Callithrix jacchus: one gene and its partner. The protein of the gene in region 2 interacts with the protein of the main gene of each other region in a biochemical or structural test. Links are inferred from orthologs where the notes say so. Each region holds a gene or a part of one and is shown on either strand. Other genes may lie near its edges.

Region 1 (3,905 bases), on a different chromosome or scaffold from region 2:
AGAGCCCAAGATGGAGGCCAGAAGACAAGGAGTTAACAAAACTCAAGTGGTGTCAAGAGGCAGCTGGTGAAGTTCCTGCCCATCCTTTAGAAAAGCATTTTTCAAACAGAGCACTGATCGGCAGTGGGTCAGGAAATCAATTTCGTAGGTCATGACCAGCATTTTAAAAGAGTAATGTATTTCGCAGCCGTATGCCTGTGCTGGGTTAAATGTAAGAAGTGTAACATTGTGGGATTTATTTGAAAGGCCCCTACTAAAAAAATACACGCTTGAACACTCAAAATCTGTCCAACCTGAGTTGTTTTTTTTTTTTTTTTGAGACAGAGTCTCGCTCTGTCACCCAGGCTGGAGTGCAGTGGTGCAATCTCAGCTCACTCTAACCTCCACCTGCCAGGTTCAAGCAATTCTCCTGCCTCAGCCTCCCAAGTAGCTGAGACTACAGGTCTCATGGTGTACCACCATGCCAGGCTAACTTTTTTTTTTTTTTTTTTAAGTAGAGATGGGGTTTCACTATGTTGGCCAGCTTGATCTCGAACTCCTGAACTCGAGATCTGCTTAACTCAGCCTCCCAAAGTGCTGGGATTACAGGTGTGAGCCATCAGGCTGGCCCAACTTGAGTATTTTCTAAACTGAAATACAAACTTGACAGCTGAAAATGAAAACAAAAGGTAGAGAAGTTGCATGTTTATTTTCAGGAATGGTTTCAAGACAGTGGGCCCAAACACACCTAGGGCTAAATGGCAGGTCGCCTGTACAGAAACCACATCAGTTTGCAGGCCTGAGTTCAGCAAAACATTCGTTGACTATCTACCTGTACATACACTTCTATGAGTGATTTAAAAACAAACGAACATTTTAAGTCCAAGCAACGTGGCTCACACCTGTAATCCTTGTGCTAACGCTGTGAGAGGCCAAGGCTGGAGGATTCCCTGAGCCCAGAAATTCAAGAACAGCCTGGCAAACATAGCGAAACCCCCACCTCTACAAAAAATTTAGAAATTACAGTTGTGATGGTGGTGTGCCCAGCTACTCAGGAGGCTGAGGCAGGAGGACCACTTGAGGCCAAGAATTTAAGGCTGCAGTGAGCTATATGATCCTGCCAGTGGACTTCAACCTGGGCCACAGAACCACACCCTGTGTCTAAAAAATAAAGTTAAAATTTGGTAACATTAGAAAGAGATCCTTTCTTTTTTCTTTTTGAGACTGAGTCTCACTTTGTTGCCAGGCTGGAGTGCAGTGGCACGATCTCGGCTCACTGCAACCTCCGACTCCCTGGTTCCAGGGATTCTCCTGCCTCAGCCTCTCGAGTAGCTGGGATTACAGGCATGCGCCACCACGCCAATTTTTTTTTTGGTATTTTTAGTAGAGACAGGGTTTCGCCATGTTAGCCAGGATGGTCTCCTGACCTCAGGTGATCTATTGGGTTTAGCCTCCCAAAGTGCTGGATTACAGGCGTGATCCACCACGCCCAGCTGTGATACTTTCTTAAAAGAACAATGCCTTAGTCCAGAAACCTTCTCCCCTATACTACAGCCCATTTAACCCTAGATACAACTTTACTATTAAATGGGCAACAAAAAGTTTATTAACTTCATTTGTAGTCTTTTCTTTAACACAGCAAGGAAGCTCGAGTTTTGCCCAAAGAACCAACTGCTACAGGACACCAAAAGGCTCAGCTCTGTCTCACACCAAAAAAAGTGAGCTGTTTTGTCCTTTTTCTTCCGATGAATCATTACAGCTCAATGACAGCTTCCAATGGAACAAAACCTCCAGGCCTTTCACAACCACAAGCTACTGAGGACATAACCAAGTCACTGAAAGCAAGCAGTAGCCGCTTCAAACTCGGCCCCCCAAATGCTCAATGGAGGCCCATAACTTCCAGCTGCTGTTCTCTGTAACGTAAATTCTACAACCACGAATTCCTCCCCGCGTAGTCAAAAGCCCACCTTTCGGAAGTGTCAGTCCTCGGTCACTCGACAATCACACACAAGCATACAAGAAGAGGGGGAGGGGCCGCAATACGTTTGTAAAACACTGGCAGAGATGGAATTCGTTCCAAGGACTTTTGCGGCACCCTCCCCTTCCCCGCATCAGGCACTCAGCCTGCGGCTCCTCGAACCCCCGCTCAACACTCTCGCTCCCCGACCTTCTCAGATGCAGAGGAGCAGGATGTGCCCCAACTGGGTACACCAGGCTGCTACGACCCTCGGCGACTCCCAGTGTAGTCCCGTCCCCGCTCCCTGGATCCGTCCAAGTTCCTCGTGGCCAGTCCGAGAGGTTTCTCCGTCGGCCGTCACAGATCTCCCGAAGGGCGACAACGCGGGTGCGGACCCCGGCCCCTCGCCCACCTCCACCCTGCCCCGTGTGGCCCACACCCTCCCCCGCTCGGCTTCCAGCCGCCCCTCAGGACACCTTCAGGGCCCGGCGGCGGCCCCTTCTTCCCGCCACCGGCCGGACTCACAAGCTGTGGCCTCCTTCGGGCCCTCCTTGCCCAACCAAGAGGTGATGGACGATCCCCGCGACCGGGCCTCGCTATAGACCCCGCTCCCGCCCGCCGGCAGCGGCCCTCACACCCTCGCCTCCCCGCCGCCGCTCTGTCCGGCCCCAGCACCCCTCTTCGGTCGCCTCGATCCGTCACCCGCCCCGCCCCCCTACCGCGGCCTGGCCTCCGCCGGTCCCCGAGCCTTAGCCCGCCCCTCCCCCTTCACCTGCTCCATAGCGCAGCGCAGCCCGGAATCTCGTTGAATCGAATCCGTCCGCTCCGCGTTACCAACCGCACGCGCCGCCTTCTGGAACCTACTAGAAGCTGCCGGGACCCCCGTCTCCCGCCCCTTCCTCTCCTGCTCACTGGTCGAGTTCTTCTAGGGGGCTCTCTGTGACGCTTTATTATTGGCTTGAGGTTCAGCCCATCATCTCTGCTTCCCTTTCATTGGACAGCAGGGAGTAATTCCCGCAACCCTTCCTCCCCCGCACCTCAGGATTGGTCTCTCCTCCATAAACCCCACCCATCTCAGGCTCCACGAATGGAGGGAGGAGCGGACTTCTGCGACACGGATTGGTTTTTTGCTTTGCCAATCGTGGCCCCGCTGGCCGCGCCCATTGGTCCTGTTCGTTCTGGAAATTTCCACCTCTCCCATTGGGCTGCCGGACTCCATGTAGGAACCGCCTTTAAAATGAGAGAAATTCCAATTGGGTTAGAGGGTTGCCAACCCTTTGCGCTAATTGGCTTAAGCTGCTGTCCTTCAAAAGGCCGGGTTTTGCCCTGCCCGTAGAGTATGGCAGCCCCGGCCGCAGGCAGGCTACACTGTGGCTCCGGCGGCCCTTTCCTCTCGCTCCCGTGGGCCGCGAGTCCCAGGCGGTCCCCGGGATCGCCAACGGCACAGGATCCCATCCCTTCGCCCGCGTATCGCGATGGGGGTCCCTGCCGGTGGGCGCTGCCTGGCCCTGGACCGCCAGCTGCCCGTGCTGTCCAGCGCTCTGGCCTCGGGCCCGGCCCTTCTGCATCCTGGCTGTTAGGTTCTGAATGTTCTAGAAATGCCGCGAGGGCGCCGGGGGCTTGGGCTGGACAGGCCGGGGATCTCACGGCTGCGGGCCCGGCTGTCCCGCTGGGCGTCCTCAGTGGAACTGCATACCCTCTCTGAGCCCGCGCTCGCGGGTCCTTTCATCCTGGAGGGCCGAGGGGAATTCATGCGCTGTTGAGCACGCAGGAAGCACTTAACGAAAGGGAGCTGCCCCCAGCCCTCGTGAGTCCGATGTAAAGGGGTGAAGGAGAGGAAAAGCTTAATCAGGGAGTTGACCGCCTATCGGCGGGCGAGTTATGGCCTGGTAGGGCCTTAAATCCCAGCCCCAGAAGTCAGAGGCGGGCAAGCACCTCAAAGTGTGGAAGAGACACCTGCGGAGTGAAA
Region 2 (3,905 bases):
TTCTTCTTCTTCATCAGAACCAACATCTTCAATTTCAGGTTTATCTTCAGACTCTTTCTCTTCTTTCTCTTTTTCTTCTTCTTTATCTTCCTTTTCTTCAGCCTCATCATCACTGACTTCTTTATCACGTTCCTTCTCCACCTTCAAAACAAGACGTGAAATCACATCACTGCTGCAACTGGTAACACTGAGCAACTATTTTCAACTAAGGCCAAAGCCTAGTCAGCCAAGCCAGAAGCAGCCAGGCAGCTTCTCATCAACGTATCTTATAGACTAAGGTAGTAGATAGAGCTTAGGTTCCCCAGGCTCCACACTAATAAATAACAACCCAAGTTCAACAGATCTAAGGAATAAGGATGTAGCTCAGTCACCCCAGTCATCTACAGAGAGTAACTCACTCTGCAATTTTTTTTTTTTTTTTTTTTAAAGACAGAGTTTCGCTTGTTACCCAGGCTGGAGTGCAATGGCGCGGATCTCGGCTCACCACAACCTCCACCTTCTTGGTTCAGGCAATTCTCCTGCCTCAGCCTCCCGAGTAGCTGGGCTTACAGGCACGCGCCACCATGCCCAGCTAATTTTTTGTATTTTTAGTAGAGACGGGGTTTCACCAAGTTGACCAGGATGGTCTCGATCTCTTGACCTCGTAATCCACCCACCTCAGCCTCCCAAAGTGCTAAGATTATAGGCGTGAGCCACTGTGCATGGCATTCACTCTGCAATTACATAGAAACTTACAAAAAGAGTAATGGGATAGCCAATAAACTGAGAATGTTTCTTCACAATCTCCTTTATTCTTCGTTCCTCCAAGTACTCAGTTTGGTCTTCCTTCAGGTGTAGGATAACCTTGGTTCCACGACCCATAGGTTCACCTGCAGAAGTAGGGAAAATTGACTCAATAATCCAATCAACTTAGCGTTCAAGCCATGCCTCACTCAGATCTATCAAGACTTGCCATTACTACAGATGAAAAGGTTCCCACAACAGGTCTAGGTGCCTTGCCACAAAGTAGTAAGCAAGTCATGCCATATTAAGTGCTCTAGCTTGTTCCTCAACGTTGGGCAAACACAACTTGCTGGAAGCCTCAGAGGTCCAAGGGCTGCAGCATCCCACCCTCCCGCCACTGACTAACCCGTGCATGCTCGGGCGCCTACCTGTGTCTGTCCTCACTGTGAATGACCCCCCTGCTGAGGACTCCCAGGCGTACTGCTCATCGTCGTTATGTTTGGTGATCACCGTTACTTTCTCAGCAACCAAATACGCAGAATAAAAACCAACACCAAACTGGCCAATCATAGAGATATCTGCACCAGCCTGCAAAGCTTCCATGAACGCTTTGGTCCCAGACTTGGCGATAGTACCAAGGTTATTGATCAAGTCAGCCTTGGTCATTCCAATTCCAGTATCCACAATAGTGAGGGTTCGATCTTGTTTGTTTGGTATGAGGTTAATATGCAGCTCTTTCCCAGAGTCCAATTTACTGGGATCCGTCAAGCTCTCATACCGGATTTTGTCCAATGCCTATCAACAAAAATTACAAATTAAGCATGCAGCCCCCACCCAACCCCACTGAAACCAAAACCCTACTCCGAGTTAACAAGCGACTTACATCCGAGGAATTTGAAATGAGCTCTCTCAGAAAGATCTCTTTGTTGGAATAGAAAGTATTGATGATCAGGGACATCAACTGGGCAATTTCTGCCTGAAAGGCGAACGTCTCCACCTCCTCCTCCTCCATCGGCTGGTCTTGGGTCTGGGTTTCCTCGGGCATCTGGAAGGACAGCGAGGCGGTCTCACACCCTGCAGGATGTCTACAGGGGCTACACGAAATGCCGTCGCGCCCTCCACGTTTTTAAAGCCCAACAGGAGATTTGCGGAGTTTTAAGTGAACCGAAAATAGAAGGGCGGCTGACAAAGGATGACCTCATTCCGCAGCGCGGTAACCGCCAGGAGCGTGCGCGCGCTTCCGGGAGGCGGCTGCGGGCCCGGGCCCAGTCCCCGCCGCGCTCCCCGCCGGCCAGCCCGCACCCTCCCGCATCCGCCCGCACCGCGGCCTCCTCGGCCCCTCGCCCCAGCCAGGCTGGTCGGGGGTTCTCCCGCAGCCCGGCCCTCTGTCCCGCTGCGGCTGAAGAGCCTCGGGGAGCCCGCGGCCGCCCGGCCCATTCCTGAAGCGGGTGCGGAGGCCTCCGGAGTGGGGAGCGCGGCCCCGGCGGATTCAGGGCCCCGGCCCAGCCCCCGCCGCCTCCGGCCCCCAATCCCCCTCCACCAGCCTCCCCCAACCGCCCCTTACCTTGGCTGAAGGACCGCACGGGCTCCGCAGCGCAGCTGAAGCACCAGGACGCCGAAGCAACTGGCGCGCCGCCCCCGCGCCTGCCTTATATAGCGACGGGCCCGCCCAGCGCGCGGCGCTTTTTCCAGAAGCCTCCCGAACCTTCCGGAAGAACCCTCCCCAACTGCCGCCGCGGCCGCGCGCCTGCGCCTGCGCCCTCGCCGCGGCCCGCCCCTCCCCCTGGCGCGCGCAGGCCCCGCGCGTGGCCCGGCCCGGGCAACCCTCCCTCAACAGCCGCTGCGCGCCCCCTGCACGCCCCCGCGCCAGCCTCAAGGCGCCTGCGCAGCTCGGAATTCTCGGGAAGGTCCGGGCGCCTTTCCCGGCCGCCCGCGCTCTCCGCCCTGCACCCCCACCCACCGGGCACGCCCGGACGTGGGGGCCTTTGTGAAATGCGCGAAAGTGAGGTGTAGTCGGTCACCCATGTGCGGGTGCCGTGAGAGCGCCCCGCCTCTTGACAACCCGGCTGAACGGAGCGCGGGGCCTGGGCGGGAGGCGCGCCTGAACGGAGGGTCGTGCGTGGACGGGAGCGCCCCGGGTCTCACGCGCCGGGTAGACTGCCGGAGTCGTGGTCCTGCTGCCGCAGAGCCTGGCGGCGCTGGGATCGCGGGGCTCTGCTCCCTGGGGGCGGGCGGGCCGTGGGCCACCTGCTGCTGCTCACTGAGGACGCTGTCCGGCTCGGGGGTGCTCGGCAGCGCCCCCTACCTTTGGGTTCCCAAAGCCGGGTCCTTTACACGTCAGGGTCCCTGAATTTGGGGAACAAGTTCATGCTCACCCAGCTGCACCAGGCATGATTTTAAAAAGCGCATCGTTTTGCCGATCGATTTATTTGAGGTCTCCAAGTGAAGTATCTAAGAATTCTTGGGTGATTAACTTGCCCTAAAAGCCAGGTTTTGGGTTTTTTGTTTGTATTTTTGGGACAGGCTCTCCCTCTGTCGCCCCGGCTGGGGTGCCATGGCGCAACCTCGGCTCACTCGCAACTTCGACCTCCCGGGCTCAGGTGATTCTCCTGCCTCAACCTCCCGAGTAGCTGGGACCACAGGCGCCGACGCGACGCCCGGCTATTTTTTGTATTTATTTGTAGACACGGGGTTTCACCATGTTACCCAGGCTGGAAGAGCCAGTTTGGACATGAGAATTTTACGATATTTTGGCCAGCGTCAGCTGTGAGAACCTTGGAGGCGTGGTGGTTCCTTAGACCTGGCTCAGGTCATCACCCTGGTTCCCCTGCCTGGCCCATGTCCTCCTCCTCTTTGTCTCTGGCGCCTCCCATGATGGGGCCGCCTGCTACCCTGGGAATAATCTGGAAGCTCCTTGCCGTGTAGACAAAGGACGGAACTACTTCCACTTCTTGGTCTCTAGGGAAACCCAACTTGCTCAGGAGCAGGGGTTTTCGGACTGCGGCGTGAGACCCCCCAAGAGTGTGTGAAATCAACAGAAAGCTTCTGGCCTGGCATTGCAAAGCGGGGGAAGGGGATGGAAACTAGCAGCCACGTGGCGTGGGCCCCAGCGTTGGGGGCGCGTGCGGAGTCCCGTGGTAGCTGTTCCGGAGCCTGGGGGCGCGCCCCCGGCCCAGGCTTTG

What was found.
Region 1: the proteins of HSP90AA1 (region 2) and STIP1 form a complex in vitro, tested with the Homo sapiens proteins (9 studies listed by BioGRID). The link is inferred for Callithrix jacchus from reciprocal best matches to the Homo sapiens genes HSP90AA1 and STIP1.

The regions. Positions count from the first base shown.
Region 1 is NC_133511.1:121,241,653-121,245,557, reverse strand, and holds the start of STIP1 (stress-induced-phosphoprotein 1), read right to left. Parts: upstream 2,776-3,905; 5' UTR 2,718-2,775; coding exon 2,709-2,717; intron 1-2,708. UniProt on the Homo sapiens protein: Acts as a co-chaperone for HSP90AA1. Mediates the association of the molecular chaperones HSPA8/HSC70 and HSP90.
Region 2 is NC_133509.1:137,004,240-137,008,144, forward strand, and holds the start of HSP90AA1 (heat shock protein HSP 90-alpha), read right to left. Parts: upstream 2,350-3,905; 5' UTR 2,288-2,349; intron 1,769-2,287; coding exon 1,607-1,768; intron 1,519-1,606; coding exon 1,152-1,518; intron 870-1,151; coding exon 736-869; intron 142-735; coding exon 1-141. UniProt on the Homo sapiens protein: Molecular chaperone that promotes the maturation, structural maintenance and proper regulation of specific target proteins involved for instance in cell cycle control and signal transduction.